Caenorhabditis elegans: one gene and its partners. The protein of the gene in region 1 interacts with the protein of each later gene in a biochemical or structural test. Each region holds a gene or a part of one and is shown on either strand. Other genes may lie near its edges.

The links.
Region 2: the proteins of tra-2 (region 1) and tra-1 interact in far-western blotting, tested with the Caenorhabditis elegans proteins (one study listed by BioGRID).
Region 3: the proteins of tra-2 (region 1) and her-1 form a complex in vitro, tested with the Caenorhabditis elegans proteins (one study listed by BioGRID).

The regions. Positions count from the first base shown.
Region 1 is NC_003280.10:6,962,639-6,967,335, forward strand, and holds the start of tra-2 (Sex-determining transformer protein 2), read right to left. Parts: upstream 3,036-4,697; coding exon 2,853-3,035; intron 2,679-2,852; coding exon 2,566-2,678; intron 2,516-2,565; coding exon 2,419-2,515; intron 2,369-2,418; coding exon 2,173-2,368; intron 2,118-2,172; coding exon 2,005-2,117; intron 1,950-2,004; coding exon 1,818-1,949; intron 1,764-1,817; coding exon 1,083-1,763; intron 1,034-1,082; coding exon 898-1,033; intron 840-897; coding exon 576-839; intron 525-575; coding exon 410-524; intron 351-409; coding exon 254-350; intron 202-253; coding exon 124-201; intron 79-123; coding exon 1-78. Other genes in the region: eif-2Bgamma (Translation initiation factor eIF2B subunit gamma), read right to left, coding at 3,261-3,319, 3,390-3,493, 3,662-3,774, 3,817-3,927, 3,977-4,139, 4,187-4,379, 4,430-4,586, 4,639-4,697. UniProt on the Caenorhabditis elegans protein: Plays a major role in controlling sexual cell fates.
Region 2 is NC_003281.10:11,192,093-11,197,175, forward strand, and holds the start of tra-1 (Sex-determining transformer protein 1), read right to left. Parts: upstream 3,110-5,083; 5' UTR 2,972-3,109; coding exon 2,951-2,971; intron 2,869-2,950; coding exon 2,773-2,868; intron 1,011-2,772; coding exon 950-1,010; intron 1-949. UniProt on the Caenorhabditis elegans protein: Plays a major role in controlling sexual phenotype. Terminal global regulator in a well-characterized cascade of sex-determining genes. Promotes female development. Interacts with tra-2 to promote spermatogenesis.
Region 3 is NC_003283.11:9,695,008-9,702,623, reverse strand, and holds her-1 (Protein her-1), read right to left. Parts: upstream 5,610-7,616; 5' UTR 5,496-5,609; coding exon 5,353-5,495; intron 5,304-5,352; coding exon 5,191-5,303; intron 1,855-5,190; exon of another isoform or gene 1,853-1,854; coding exon 1,695-1,852; intron 1,186-1,694; coding exon 1,072-1,185; 3' UTR 589-1,071; downstream 1-588. UniProt on the Caenorhabditis elegans protein: Dictates male development. Probably plays a direct role in cell signaling during C.elegans sex determination. Inhibits the function of tra-2a.

The DNA of each region.
Region 1 (4,697 bases):
TCTTTTAACTGGAATAAACAGCAATCCAATTGATATCACAATTAGAAGAATCGCAGGAATGCATAAAATCACACCGAGCTGGAAAAAATACATTCAAAAGATTTCGCAATTAAGAAAACCTACTGTTCTCAATTTCAGAATCCTAAGATATAATCCAATGATCTTTTCCCGGAATATTCTGGATGCTTGATGTGGATACTTCTGTAATTAATTTAACTACGAGAATGAATATGTTTCTTGTACAATGGTTTACCATGAAATTCGAAACATCGTAGGTACCGGGTGAAAGATCTTGGAGACAAGGTTTTTGATTTCTGATGATGCTTGATTTTTTGACAATATTAGCTTTGCTGAAAATATTAAAAATTTAGATTTTTTCGGTAATTTCATGGCAATTCTGATCACTCACTCTGTGTTAGAAACCGGTTTATTACCAGCAAACAGTTTTTCAAGGGAGCTTCCAGTAATACTTTCAGCCTGTTCTTCATTTTCCAGTCGTTGCTTTGCTTGCATTGCTTCACGCTCTAAAAATAGCATTTTCAGTTTTAAAATCTCGAACCTTAATTTTTAAATACCTTTCCAAAACATATTCTTAGCAAAAAGCTCTTCACCAGCAGCCAAACAAAATGATGGTAGAACAGAAACACAAATCTTGTCAAAATTAGAATCAATGAAATACCAATAGACGAAAACGATTGGAAATATCAGAATTGATGTGCAACCCCAATTCTTCGGGAACCTTTCAAATAATTCATTTGAATATGAGTCTTGGGCTGCTTGATACTTTGTTACAGTACTAAGGAAGTATTGTATTTGACGAGAATCAGTCATTGTGTCAACTGAAATTAGATATCAAATTTTAAATTTAAAAAAATACAAAAAAATTTTAAGGCATACCTGTAATAAGAGAAGCAAAATTTGAGTTTATGGGAAACCGTTTTTCTCGTTGAATACATCGGGATAGTCGTTCAGTACAGAATGAAGAACGAGTTGTGAAGTAGAGATTAGCCAATGTAAGGACAATTATATACTTCTGAAATATATCTTTATACATTTAACTATTATTTCATTTATAAGCTTACTATTAATTCCGTATCCAAAACGATAACTCCATCGGTACTGCAGACAAAACAGAAAAGTAAACACGTGAGAGCATCTCGAACAAAAAACATGAAAGCTGATCTGAGAGGAGCACCAGACCATACGAAGATTGTGAATAAGATCACAATTAATGAATGTACATTAACCACAAAATGTATTGTTTGTTTCTCCGAAAATGATTGAAGTTTCGTAGTTACAGTATTATCCAAAACTCGTGATGTAACTCTTATCATTTTGCTCATTCTATTCTCTTTGAACTTCTCAGTTTCTTCTTTCAAGGCTAATCGGAATTCATGAATAAGTTCTTCAGCTTTTTCAATAGTCCAAATTGATTCAAAACCATTCACAAAGTCTGAATGTTGCATAGCTGATAAGAGCATTTCAGGAGTTAACAGGACAATTTCCGTTTGCATTGTATCAAATTGAGATTTTGTACTACTGAAGCTTCTCGATCCGTCGAAAAATTCAATTCCAGTGCTATTCAAATCATGAAAAATCTTATCGCATGTTTGATTTACAACATTTGGATAATCTGGCTTTTCAGTTACATGAGAATACATTTTTCTGATCTCCAACTCCTGCATCCATTCAATGAACTGTTCTTGATCATCCACACAATCGAGATTCATTGCGAATTCTTCATCGACATCTTCTAATTTGAACTGCAATTTTTCTTTTTTTTTTCAGTAATTGCGTGGTTATGCATATATTAATACCTTTGTCTTCTTTTCAGCGAAATTATCAACAGACTGCATATCTGTACATATATTGAAGTAGTGTTCAGAGTCCAGAGGTGTGTCACAGGAATGAATTGAAGCTGCACATGTTTTTTGGCGTGGTTCTATGCTCTGAAGATTTTGTTGGTTGTTGAAAAAAGAAGATTATAATTAAATGTATTCCTACCAAAAGCCAAAGCTTAATCTTCTGAAATAATGCATCTTTAGTTGAGTTGGTGAATGACTTCGATGGTAAATCAAACATGTGATCGGCCCAACTTTTGATCAGGCTAGGTCCATCTAAATACATATTTATTTGTTTTTTTTTTAACATATTTTTATTTTGATTTATTACAATTTGATTTCACATACGGCCTCTCATCATTTTCTCCAATAGCTTCAATATAAGAATTTCTAAGTCTTCGATTCAAAAAGTCGGTATTCTTATTCCAATTACTGATTTCACCATGAATACGGTAGATATCATAGAAACAGTTTAGAGGTGTCACGATAAGACATGGTGACAGACGTTGCATTTCAAGAAGAAGCCTCTGAAATTACTATTTTAATGAAATTTTAATTTTCTAAAAGTCAAGAAAACCTGGATATAATGTGGATATTCGTTTTGATCGGATGAAGAGGATTGTTGGAATATTGTAATATGTGGTTTAAAGCAGACATCATTGAGTGTGTATGTTCTAAAATATGTTGGACGTTTTATGGAAGAGTACGAATGAAATAAACTCACTTTTGGCGAAATTTAATTTTCAAATTTGAAATGTTGTTCAGTAAGTATCCATGTTGAGTGAAATGTAACGTTGATCGCATATCTACTCCATTCTCCTGGGTTTGAGCGATTTTCTAGAAAATTTATATTTATATAGTTTGAAAATTTAAAAACATTTGTTTGTTCACAAAATCATGTCATACTTAGCTTAAAGTTAAAAATATTTAGACCTTGTCATCTAATTCAAATAGCCATTTTAAAATTTTAAAAACTTTCAGTATCTGAATTCCAAATTGAAAAGGTTATACCTCGATAATGTATTCTTCATTGTTCGTACGAGTTTCGAAGAATCCCTGGCTGACAAACGATGGAAATATTGATTTTTCTTGATAATCAATTGATTTTCCAAAACATTCCGCTAAGAGCAACCCGAATGTTACAAAGGTGACAATCACCACCGAAACGAGAAGTTTATTGTATTTCAATTTCATTGTTCCATTATTATCTGTTAGTAAAATAATATCGTAAATAAAAATATTACTCAAAATAATTTGTAGGGTTAGAGAACCTATCATTGGAGTGAAAGATAGAGGAAAACGAAAATTTCAAAAAAACTTAATCTTCAATAAATTTATCAGAAAACAAAAATAAAACAACCGCGTAAAAAAAAGAGAAAACACAAAAAGGCTCCAATTATTCCTAAAATTCCAAGATTGTTAATCATCGGTCCATTCTTCGTCTTCTCCATCTTCTACTACCTCGTTTTGAACTTTGCCTGAAAATCGTTGATTTATAAAGAAACACGAGAAATTAAAAAAAAAACAACACTAATGAAAACAACTAACCTTTAGCAGGTACCTTCTGATCCTTAGCAACAATGCAATTGGTGACGTCAGCATTCTCTCCGATTTCTACTCCATCACAAATAATAGAGTTGCTTATGGAGGCACTGGAATGGAAAAGTATAAATTCAAGTTTTAATTCAAGAAATCAGTAATTGTGATAACAGAAGAATTCTTAAATCGAAAGTTTTCATATGTTTGTCTATTTATTAAGAAAATATCTTTTCCGAAAGCTCATCCGAAACTTCTCGCGCTACGAAAATCCCAAAACTAACCCATTTCCAATGACAACGCCTTTGGCAATGATACTCTCTTTTAGCTTTGTTTTTTCACCAATCCGACAATTATCCGAGATGAAAGACCGTTTGATAACTGAATCCTTGTCAATCTGAATGGAAATGTTCCCTAACTATTTTTGAACAAGTATTACCTCTGCGCTTTCTTCGATCCGACTCTCGTGGGCAGCAATTTTATCAGTTTTGTAGTTGAAATTCTTCCCATTTCCGCGATATTCCATCAATCGAGTAAAAGATTTTTGAATCTAAAAAAACAATTTAAAGGCTATATGATAATGCATTATTAGCACTTACAGCTTTATTCACTTCGAAATAAGAGCCAAGAGTATTCGCATGTGCAGTTACAAATCCATTTTCATGAGGAAGACGATATGCAAAGCATTTGATATCAGAATCCGGTTCAAATTGTTTATCAATCAGAAGAGGCACAAAATCGGCTTTGAATGATGAAATGTGTCTAGAAATTATACATTTAGAGTAAAACACATTCAAAGAAACACTTACTTTGATTTTGACAGATTAAGAAGAACTTTATGACGTATAGCATAAACATGACAATCATTGTACTTTGAAGTTAATTTGATCGATGGGAATATTTTCAAACTTTTCTCCATAACCAATGGAGCATCAAAATCATCATCTCCGCAAAGGAATGCAAGTTGACCTGTCGATTCTACTATTGCCATTACATCGGTGGCTGTAAATTAATATTTTGATAAATTAGAGGAAGGTTGAAATAAATAATACCTTTAGGTTTTTTCGATTTTGATCCCGGAGCCGGAGCATTGACACACGTATCTGCAATAAGAGCGACAAGCGTGGAATTTGTAGCTCGGAAGAAATCAACAAGTGGAATGAGACTGGCATCGCTGATAAAATCACAGGAAACAATCAATGCATCTTTCTGTAAAAATTAGAATTATTAAGGTAACTTCTTTTTCAGCTGATTGACTTACCGTAATTTTAGAATGATGATTCTTCAATAGATCCGCGGTTCCAAAATCCTCTTGATTGA
Region 2 (5,083 bases), on another chromosome or scaffold:
CAATTTTCTGATTTGCCGGAAATTTTTAAATTCCGGCAATTTTCCGATTTGCCGGAAATGTTCAACTCTGCCAATTTCACCCGATTTGCCTGAAATCCTCAATTCCGCCAATTTGCCGGAAATTTCAACTTTCGGCAATTTTCCGATTTGCCGGAAATTCCAAATTCTGGCGATTTGCCGAATTGCCGGAAATTCCAAATTCTGGCGATTTGCCGAATTGCCGGAAATTCCAAATTCTGCCGATTTGCCGGAAATGTTCAACTCTGCCAATTTCACCCGATTTGCCTGAAATCCTCAATTCCGCAAATTTGCCGGAAATTTCAACTTTCGGCAATTTTCCGATTTGCCGGAAACTCCAAATTCTGGCGATTTGCCGAATTGCCGGAAATTCCAAATTCTGGCGATTTGCCGAATTGCCGGAAATTCCAAATTCTGCCAATTTGTCGATCTGCCGGAAATTTTAAATTCCGGCAACTTTCCAATTTGCAGGAAATTTCAATTTCCGATTTTCCGGAAATTTCAAATTTCAGCAACTCGCTGATTTGCCGGAAATTTTAAATTCCGGCAATTTTCCAATTTGCCGGAAATTTTTTAATTCGGTTTGCCGAGCCATTTTTGCCCAAAAATTACAAAAATTTTTGAAAAAAGGCGGTGTCTAGAGTCGAAAATCGCCCGTTTTTTTAAATTCAAAAATTTTTTCTAATAAATGTATATTTATAAATTGTGGAATTTTCTATTTTCTGTGGAATTTTTTGGTCTAAAACTGAATAATTTCTCTAGAAAAGCTGAAAACGGGTGGTCCATCCGACTCCATCGGGCGATTTTCAAAGAAAAAATGTGGGTGCAAATGCGCTCTAATGCGAATTTCTTCCGCATTTTTTTTCGTTAAAACTATTCAAATTGCCGCCGAATCGCGCGGTCATTCTCAACGGAGCGCGATTTCCCGTACCATTTTCGGTTTTCACGTCGCCACCACCAGGTTGTTTGTCCTCCGAACCCATTTGCTTGGCCTGGAAAATTGTAAAAATTGATTTAAAAAATTCATGAGAAAATCCAGAAAGGGCCCAAAATTTTAGGGAATTTCTAGATAAAATCCCCTAAAAAATGAGCTTCTGACTGAAAAAATCCATATTTTTTTGCATTTTCAGGGCGTGCTAAGACCCAAATTATACTTTTCTGACCTCCTCATCAACCGCGGCGGGGGTGTGCTCGGCGGTGCCAGTGTAAGAGCAAAAGTGCACGAGAACTTCAAAATAATATGTATGTATTTTTATCGGAATTCTCTGTCTCTCGAATTTTGGATAGAACAACTCCTTATCAGTCGAGCGGAAAAAAAAAACGACGTGGCAGGAGCAGCAACAGCGCCCAGCGAAAAAAAAGTAGTGGCGGAGCAGTGTTCGATGATCAGAGGAGCAGAAATATTCGGGCGGTCTAGACGAGGTAACGGTGGTGATATGAACCCGAAAAAGGAAATGAGAAACATGTAGAGCTGAGAAAATTGAGAAGAAGAAGAAGAAAAATATAAATTCTCACGGTTGGACAACCCAGAGACGAGAAAATCGACAAGTTTTTGGCGGGAAAATTTGGCGATTTTCGAGGGAAAATCGATTTTTATATTTTTACAAGTGCTGTAAGAGTGTCTCATTTCGGCTTGATCTACGTTGATCTACAAAAAATGCGGGAAAAGAGACGCACACTTTTAAACTGATTTTGCATGGTTAAGAACGTGTTATTTTTTTGGGCAAAAAATTCCCGCAATTTCGTAGATCAACAAAACGTGATGGGACAGTCTGGCACCACGTGTTTTTATAGGACCGCAGAAAAAAGGTCCGGGGTGCCGCCGAAAAAATGTTCAATTTTCGGTCTGTTTTTTTTTTGAGCAAAATGAGCAAAATTTGAAAAAAAAAACCGGCAGGCCTGATTCAGGGGTGCGGGGTACTTGCCGGAATTGCCGGAAATAATATTTTGGAAGTGTTTTTGAAATTAGACGCCTAGACATGCATTTTTTTGACCCGACTACAGAAAGCCCCATTTTTTTCAGATTTTTGTCGTTTTTCCTGGGTTTTTTAAAGGAATTTCTAGGAATTTCTCTTCCCCGGAGCCTGAGCCTAGGCCTAAGCCTATGCTAAAGCCTAAGCCTAAGCCTAATCCGTCGCCTAAGCCTAAGCCTTAGGCTGAGACTAAGCCTCAGCTTAAGCCTATGTTTAAGCCTGAGCCTAAGCTTAAGGTTAAGCTTAAACCTATGCCTAAAAGCCTAATCCTGAATCTAAGTTTAAGCCTAAAAGCCCAAGCCTAAGCCTAAGCCTAAGCCTGAGCTTAAGCATAAGCCTAAGCCTAATTATAAGCCTAAAAGCCTAAGCCTAAAACTGCGATTTTCAAGCTCAACATGTTGTCAAACTCGAATTTTTAAAATTTTTAAGTTTGAATTTAATTCTTTAATTCTGATTTAATTCTGAATAAGGCTAAATTTTTAAAATACAGTTAGGTTTGAAAAAAAAGCTTAAAAAGTGGGAAAATCAACAAAAAATTGAAATTTCGGACGTTTTCAGTTCAATTTTAAGCGAATTTCGGTGAATTTTTCCGGAAAACCACTCCTGGTACGTGAAAATTCGATTTTTCTCAAATTTTTGTGATAAATCTGCTTTTTCGAAAAGTTTTTGTCTGAAAAATGTGCATTTTTCCAAAAATCTACGAATTTTGCGGTAGAGATACCGGGATTTCGCTAGAAATGTTCGATTTTTATGGATTTTTTTTTCAGCTTCACAAACTTACACACTGATCGACAAGCTCCACCTTATTCCACCCATTTGCATTCTTTTTCTTCGAGAAGCTTCCACGACGTTGAGCCTCGACAACCGTATCGGGATCCTGGAGAGAATTGATTTTTAACGAATTTTTAATGTGAAAATTGTAAAAATTAGTTTTTTAATTCAAAATTCCTCGAATTAACCTCAGTACTGGGGGCCATCATGCCGCCGTTTTCGTTGTTTTTGATTTCCTGTTGAATTTGGAGAGTTGCGTTGAAAATTGCTTGACGCGGGGGCTCTTGATGCTCCAAATAGTGTTGATTATTTAGAAGATGACGTGGCGAGCCTCCTGGCACATTCTCTGCAAAAAAAATCAATAGATTTGAAGGATATTAGGCAGAAAAATGAGAAGAAAATCTTTAAATTTAAATTTAAAATTCAAAGAATAGAGTTCGTGGTGAGACCCATCGCAAGAATTACTGCATGTTCCTTTAAAACTACAGTAAGGCTCGATTAATTTTAAAAACTTTTTGAATGAGAATTCGCCAATTTTTCAGTGAAAATCAGTAAAAAATTGGGAACTGTTAAATATAAAAATACATGACTTTTTCAATTTGAAAGTTTGGAGCCAAAAATTTTCAAATAACGGCGCAGAGAAATTAATTGTCGGGTGGGTCTCGGCACGATCGTGGTGAGACCCGCTAAAAACATGGAGAACAAATATTTTGAGTTTTCCAGAAAAAACAACGACAAAAAAGGAGTCAAGGCTTGGGTGGTTTTTTTTTTTGAAAAACCGTGCACAATTTTCAGTACTCGACTGATAGCACATATACATAGGAGAGAAGAACATCTAACCCCCTTGGCGATGCGAAAATAGCATACGAGACAGAGAGACGCCGTACATTGGTGGCGTAACTGATAAAAAACTGATAATAAGTCTCAAAACCACCGCGGGCACTAGGCGCCAGCGCCGAGAAAAAGTAAGAAAAAAATAAAAATGTTGAGAAGAGGGGGAATAGTACTGTATCTATAGCCACCGGTCTTTTTTTTTGGAATTTTTTCGTTTTCGCGAACGGAAATTCGCAAAAAAAGGGAAATTGAAAAAGTAACCAGTGAAAGTGATTGGGAGGATGATATATATTGATAAGGGAGACCGGTGGAACGTGAGAATTTTGAATTCCCGCGCTGGACTACGGTAGGAAGGCGAAATTGGGATTTTTTGAAAAACTCTGGAATTTTCGAGTAAATTTCGTCTAAAAATGGAAAAAAATGTTGCGAAAATATTCTAAATTTTCTTTGAGGCGACTGTAGTTTTTTTTATTATTCGCCAAATTTTGAAATTTAATGCAAAAAGGTGTGCGCCTTTAAAGAATACGGTAGTTTCATTTTTTTTTGGAGTTTTTTTTTTGCCCAGTGTTTATTGTTAGTTTTTAAATAAATAAATAATACATTTTCAAAAATTGATAATAAATACCGGAACAACGAAAGTTTCAAAGTACAGTAATTCTTAAAGGCGCAAAACCTTTTGGCATTCAAGAAAAAAATTTTCGTGCCAAGACCGAGTACCGTATTTCTCGCGGAAAAAAATCGCTAATAATCGCGTTTGTGTGATATTTTTCCGCTTTTAACATTCAAATCAGGTGTGGGCGGAAAACAATTTTTTATCGGCAAACGGCCAATTGGCATTTTGCAAAATGAAAATTCCGGCAAATCGGCAAACCGGCAATTTTTTCGATTTGCCGGAAATTTTTTGAGCAAATTCTATGAAAATATCTAAAGAAAACGGGGAAAAACTTCAAAAAGGCACAGTTTTAAGAGTTTCCGGCAAATTGATATCCGGCAAATCGGCAATTGCCGGATATGAGAAATTCCTGCAAATCGGCAATTTTTTCGATTTGCCGGAAATTTTTTGAAAATTGTAAGCAAACTCTATGAAAATATCTAAAGAAAACGGGAAAAAAATTCAAAAAGGCACAGTCTTACGAGTTTCCGTCTTATAAAAAATCTGTCTAAAAATTTTCGGCAAATTGATATCCGGCAAACGGCAAATCGGCAATTTGGAGAAATTGAAAATTTCCGGCAAATCGGCAAGGTTTGCCGATTTGCCGTTTCCGAACGGCAATTAGTTTTTTTTTTTAATTTTTGAGTATTTAGTTTTTAGGTTAAATTCGACTAAAAAATCTTAGAATGTTTTTTTTTCCAATTCAACATGAAAATTGCTTTTTTTTAAAAATTAATTTCGGAGAAAAGAAGCAGAAAAAAAATTTTATCCACAAAAATTCGATTTTTACGAAATTTTCGAGATTAGAGGTACCAGTTCCGAAAACGAAAGTGTG
Region 3 (7,616 bases), on another chromosome or scaffold:
GCAGAGAGTCAATAAAAAAGTACTTAAATTCTATGGCTTGAACATTGAAAATTGCTTTTAAGAACATCGGCATTTCTTGAGTTAATTGTTTTCTTAACTTTATTCTTATATTGTATTCTAAACTTAAGTTAGCAGAATCCATACTTCAAACTCGGATCACGCCTGAACAGTTTTGGTAACTTGTGTTGATTTACAAAAAATCTAAACTTATATAGTTTGAATTCCACCAAGTACAAGTTTATGATGAAACCCAACACATGTGTTAACACATAAAATTTAAAAAAAAACCTTAATGGCCATTTTATCAATTTCGAATGAATTGATTGATTTTTCCTTGCTAGCTCTAAAGCATTATTCAGTTTAAAATAACAAGCAGAATATGAGAAACAACATTACATTTAGTTTATTAATCTTTCAAAACGGATAAGAAATAAAGTTTTGCTCGTTTTGCAGTTTGAATAACTAAAATTACAAATAAAATTTAGAATTTGTTAGAAAGCAGAGAATTGAAAAAAAATTGATAAAATTTGTAGTTCGAAAATCACTTTCTTATCATTTTTTGTTGATTATGTCGTATGGGTTCTGTGCGTTGATAAAACAATTTATTCAATAAAAAAGATCGTAGAAAGTACTTGAATATTCATATTTGACAACTTTAGGAGAAACCAACAAGAGAAGATATATTTTTTATGAAAAAAAAAATAAATAAAATCAGGACCGCACCGTAGTGCGCCTTCATGACATCTGAGCGCATCCGAAAACATTCTTGAAGAGAATGTTAAGAAGAAATCAATAAGAATAGGACATTTCAAAAAATTCTATTAAAAATATATACAACAATATGACAAGTTGCGTATCGAAAATTTTCTTCAACATAAGGAGAACACAAGATTAAAAATATAACTCAAAGTGAGTAAAGCTCAAAGCTTTGATTAAGAGGTAGACATAGAGGTGTTACAAAAAATAAAATAAAAAGGTTTAGAAAGAAAAGAAAAAATTGGACCACTCATGATGGAGAGTGCCATAATGACAACGGCGGATTAGGGATGTTTTAGGCTAATGAGCCCAGATTCAGACTCCTCGGAAAGTTCGCTTTTGGATAAACGTTGCATTGCAGTATTCTTCGAATTGGAGCACTTCAATTTTGATACCATCTTTACGGAGGCTCCGGCATTTCTCAAAACACTGAAAAATAAATTTGTTTTATGACACACTTGATTAACTCGAATTGAACGATTAGAATATCGAATGAGATATCTTTGAAAAACGTGGTTCCTGGACTGACGCACTGCTCCAAAAATGTATCTCAACCTAGGCGAACAATTTTTGGGGTGATATCTATCCACTATCGGATTTTCCGCTTGCCAATTGAATTTTTTTTTTAATTTTCTCCGTTTTAGGATGAATTTTATAGACGAGGGAATGGATGGGACGAACTCCAAAATTGTTTGCCTGGACCAAGAAAAAGTCTGCAAATCGCAGCCGTTTTTACAGAGTTGGAGATAATTTAATATTTTTAAACTTGGCTTTGGTCAACTAGGGATCCTTTCTTTAAAACTGGAAAAATTAGGACTACGTACTGAAATAGGCAGGAGCTGAAAAAACCATAAGACAGATTGCACCGAATATTTTCAATTTACCCGTTTGTCTAACTAGAATAGGCGAACTGAAATTCTGTGTTAACAAAAACTCACTTTATACAGTACATTATCCAGAAGCGAGCAACTTTTGATGCTGTCCAGACGTGTGGCAGCGTCGATGGAAGGGCTGGTCATGAGGTTCTTGCAACGATTCTCACATCTTCTTCCAGAATCGTTTTGGTCGTTGCCAAACACGGAGCAGCACACGGAGTCTGAATAAAGACAATATGAGATTAGGGCGTGGGATGGGCAAATGGGCGGGGCAATCAGAGAGGCGGAGTCAAAAGAGACAGGTGTTGGCATGTTTTACGTGTGAAGAGGCAAATAATAGATCGATAATTAAGACAATTTGTCCCTCAAAAATAACGATTTCTTTTGGGAAAGTCTCTTCTGGGAAATCGTAAAATTATAGCAATTCTGTGAGTCAAATGCATTTGTAAGTTTTTCTATAAACCTCATATTATCAATAAAATTAGTGAATATTCACAACTTTACAGAAAGTAGAAATTTCTCGAATTTCAGATTTTCAAATTAATTTATATTAAGACAATTTCTGCTCAGGGGAACGCACCTAAATAAACCAATTAAGTTCTGTACTTTTTGGATTTAATCACGCGTGCATTTAGTTTAGTAAGATTACTGTATTTTCTCTAATAGTATTGCACCACATTATTTTAATTGAAAGCTTTATATCTCACTATCAACTCATTTTAAAGATATCAATAAATTTTAACTGCAAGCAATTGAAAAAGAAATAATAGTTTCTCAATTGGCAATATTTGAATAGAACAAACGCTAACTAAAATATAAGCTGGTAAAATTGAACAATAAGGTCTAATACAATAACGGGGAATACGGTATACATTATTTGAGCACTGATATCTACCTTCATTATGAAGTTTCACTTTATCAGCTATTCGAGAAAAATTTGAAAACCTCAGATGTAGCTGAAGCTATGATATTTGTAGTCTCAAAAAACATTGTTCCCGTCAAAACAGCTATGTTTGCTCTACGCAATCTAGTTTCTCCTGGATGGACCTAATCGACGCGTTTTTCATCTCATTTGATCTACCACTCTCTTACATTATATCTCGTCTACGGTATCTCTCATTTACCGTAGTCTCTCATTTCCCATATACTCTTTTGTTGCAACTCGACACACATGACGGTATTGCGGACTCTTTTATGACGACTGTAGATCGTAATTCCTATACCGTATGGCAGATCTAATAAGATGAAGGACCAAGCACACCTGGATTGGGAGGTGTAATGAGGAATAGAAAAGCAAACTGTACAGGGGTGAGAACAAGAAAATACTTATTCAATATTTATTAGCTGATGCCGTGCATTCTGATATATTTGTAAATAAAACAGATTGCTCCCGGCGGCACTTAAATATTTTCTTTCTAACGAAAAATGCAAGATGTCAAAAGAAAAAAAGCAACTGCTCTGCTCCTGTAGGACAATTGTTGCAGGGGAGTCTCCCATCTAATCAATACACCTAACAAAAGAGTGAGTCAACTGATAAAAGGATAAACATGCAAAGATATGGTATCAGTGCTCGCAGTAGAACACTCTTTTATCTTGGAGAGATAACACGAGAAAGATCAAAACAAATTATGAACATTATCAGAGAATTCAAAGACATTGTTATCATAATTTTTATGTTTTCATAAATCTATTAAATGATCAAATGAGTAGGCGAAATTAATTTTTTTTTAACATTGTAGAGAACAAGTATTGAAAAATATTAGAGCCAAATTCAATACTGTAAAGTTTTTTTTTGGCCATGAATATCTCAAAAACAAATAAAGAAGCCTATTTTAAAACTTATGTTAAAACGTAGCCCTAATAGAATTCTGAACGAAAAACGTAACTTTTTGAGGCTAAAAAATATATTTCTAAATAGTTTGAGGGTTTGAAGAATATCTACTCTCGAAACATGATGACAGGTGGTACGCAAGACACAAGGGTCCGTCTATTCTCCCTGCGCAATACCAATTGCCTGCACAACCCTAGGACAATTGAACGGACCACCTAGAACAAGTTGCAACTTTAGAGTTGAATATCTCAAAAACTGAGCCTGAAACATAATCAAAAAGTTTTTCTAACAAATAGAGCATGTCAAATTCTTTTAGAAAACTTGGTTGTTACATTACCAAAAATTTTTTGTAGATGCTTTAGGTGTTGTCAAAGTGATCCCTATTTAGTTGAACAAGGTTCCAATGTTATTGAGGGAAATATTACAATTCGAAATGGAAGAGGAAACTATTTACAGGAAATCAAACATTATTATAGATATGAGAAAATGTTTAAATGCTAGTTGATAAGTGTTATCAATAACTGGAAATGTAGTATGTTGAAGTGAAATCAAATCAGGAAACTATAGAGAGCTTAAGTTGCTTCAAAGACACGGTATCCTTGACATTTATCACAAATTTACTGATATCAGTAAGCTTCAAATTGTTAAAAGCCTGACCGACTTTGAATATATCGATCGAGCGTATGGTGGCGACTGCCCAATGCCCGAAGCCTTGTACCTCTCTGCGCACACATACGCACTATCTTCCTCCTCTTACCATTGTCTACGTCATCGTACTGCATTTTTTCTAATTTCTAAAATATCGAAAAATGTTTGAACAATTTTTTTACTATATGATAACATCTCGTTCTGCTGTAACTCGGATTATGGAAATGCCCAACATTTGCTTTCGAACTTAGCGGTGAAACTTCAATTTCCAGTTTAATTTCACATTGGCAGAAACTTTGTTTCAAAATTGGTAAAGTATTCGTTTTATAATTTAAAGTGAAAAAATAATAGCCCTTATGAATTATTCGAATAATCATTCTATCATAGTTATAATTGATTTCAGCAAGAGAGAGCGCGAACATTCTAAATTGGGGTTAGTTTGAAGACGTTTTACGTGTTATTAAATAATTTTTCAAATGATAATAAATACTCAGAAACAAAGACTTTAATTTTATCTTTGTTTTGGTATACTTTTTAGTATAGGTTGCAGGCTCAGTTTTTGTGATATAACTCCTCAAATTCAGATATTCTTGAAGTCTTGGGCGCTTTCTTCAAATATTTCTCCCATACATTGCATGCCATTTTTAAATTTCAAATAGTTAAAGATAAGTAGTAATAATAATCTTACTCATGAAAAATTTCAAACGCTCTCTCTTTACTTACGTTCTAACTATTATTTTGAAATCAGAGAAGCCTCTGATGATTTACTTTGATTTTTTTCAAAACAATTTGAGGCAAGAATATTAAAAAAAAAATGTTCAAAATTATTGAAAATTTCCAAAGAGTATACGAATGAAAGAGGCAGAAAAGATATTGTGACTTTTCAATGCGTGTGGTCTTTCTGCCTCCGGCCAATCAATGACCTCACGGGCGGGCGCTATGCCACCGGTTTCTCGATTTTCCTCAAGTTAAAACTAACTTGTACATACCGTATTAGTCATTTCCTATATTTCTTAAGAATAAACAAAACTTGATATCTTGGCTTGTGAGGAGAATTTTACCTGAAAAAAAAACGCTCACCATCCAAGTTAATCTTTTTCTTTGGTTCTTTTGCAAACAACACATTTTGAAGACATTTGTAGACATATCCGGGTAGCTTCGGATCCCTGTCATAACCACATCGAATTGGGGTTCTAAATTATACCGATTATCGCATTGTTCGTGCTCGTAAAAGCGGTTCACCCAAATTTCATAATTTCAATGCAACATTCTTGACGGTTTCTTGTACAGCATTTCTCAGCTGCATCTTTGATAAGTTCCTTTGTTAATGTAGTTTCCGTATAGCCAAATGATCCGAGAAACACAAAAATTGGGAGATATCTCATAATGCAACGTAAGGAAAGGGAGGAGATTTACTACTGTAGGTGGACAAGATGCGCTGAGAAAATAGAAGCAGAAGGTAGGAGGAATATGAGCAAGAGACGACTGGTGGGTTCAGTCAGGAGATAGGCATCCCTGCAGTGTCATTTGGTTGAATGATGGATATAGAACCTGAAGAGACTTAGATACTCAAAGAAAGTTAGACAAAGAAGGTACATACAGTGCTCATGTATGCTCCTAAGATATAATCTACTCTCAGAAGCTGAAGAACTGGTCCGTTGTTTCTGCTTAATATATAAGAAACTAGGCAAAACTATACTAGAAACTAATTAGTTCATGTTTGAAACATATCTGCTCGTCAGTGACGTCACTCTCAACAATCTCATTAAATCCTGTAAATACAACTCCATTTTTTAAAAGATATGAAAAAATGTATAATTTAAGTGTTGATTTCACAGAATATGATTATTTCTTTGAAAATATTGAATTGATTGAGAGCACCTCTCAATCTTAAATTATGTTTTTTAGAAGAAACTTTCATAAAACCCCAGTAAATGTTTCGAAGAGCCCCTCGCCGAACAATTTCCAATTAATAGATATCTTTATTTTCGATCACTATGTTCCAATTTTGTGCCTTGTCAACTTTACTTTCATATCTATTTTCAAGGTTGAGGATTAATGCCGTAGATGATTGATACAATAGTTTTACAAAATAAAGTTTATCAAATTATACTTTATCGAGCATACTGTAACCGTTCTATATGTTCCAATTGACTTCATTTCGTTTCAAACATGGTATGTTCCACCTTTGACGGTAATTGATATGATAAGGATTGCCAAATTTGCGAATATCCTGCATAACAATTTGTTAATTGTCAGATTGAACTACCAAAATACTCATGAGACAAGAGATCAAAAGAGCAAGATTGTAGTAATGATAGAACGAATAACAAAATAATCTTCTTCAGTTTTAATGTTCCTTTAAGGTTCAGATTGAATACTCTTTAGTAACTCTTTAGAGTAATATCTCTTAATAACTCTTAGAACTCTTTAGAATAACTCTTTAAAGTATTGTTCTATATCATTTTAAGAAATGAGTTGTATTCTATGGCAGAAACGTACCGAATCGTGAATTGGTTCACTTTACTTTTTTAGGTCTATCTAAGATTATCAATTTACTTAAATTTGACTATTTATTCGTCTATACTTTTCAGCTGAAAGTTTCAGATCAGAAACTGATTGAACATGCAAAGATCTGTCAAAGAAAACAATGTATTAAATTAATTTACAGTTTCAAAACATATTTTTATCAAATTGATATTTCATTTTTTAGTCAAATACAATTCCTTTATCTTACTTCGTTGTCTTCCTATCTTCTCACAACTTACCTCATTCTAGACAACACTCGATATCCCGAAGGGCCATTATATTGCCTGTCTCACAGTAACTGAGTGTCTGCAATTGTGAGCAAATGCTATTGCATGTGCGTGATTCACTAAAATAGCATAGGAGATTGAGTGACTTAGAGATCGAATGCGCGGGAAAGAAGATCAAACGAGTAGGCGGTGTGGACAGATGACGTGGGTCTACAAGTGTAGCTACAACCGAGCACAATAAAGGCAATTCAGGGAAAATAAGGATATATAATGGTGTTGAGCTCCGTTGATGCAAATATATATTGCTACATTGAATTTTATTTTCCTGGCCCAAAAATAACTATCTGTTCATCAATATAATTAAGAATTGGAATCAAAAATTACTTGGAAAAAATATATTTAGTGTTTGAAATTTCACGATGACTATGTAGTAATGAAAATGAGAAACTTGTTAATTTTTCAGATACAATGGAAAATAATAGTAAGAAAAAATATTGCAACTGTGAATTAGATACATTCAACATATTTTTTAATCAAATTTATTACGAATTTGCGAACTAGAAATTCTCACGTTTCAAAAATTTTCAATAGAGTAATCTCAAAGAGTCATGCGCCTTTAAAACCAAGTAATACAAGCAAACTCATTTCTCTGAATGTTTTGCCATTTTGATTTGATTTTTTTAAATGTTGTAATTTCTTGATATCCAATATTTCAATTCAAATATTCAACTGCAAGGTTTTCATTTCTAG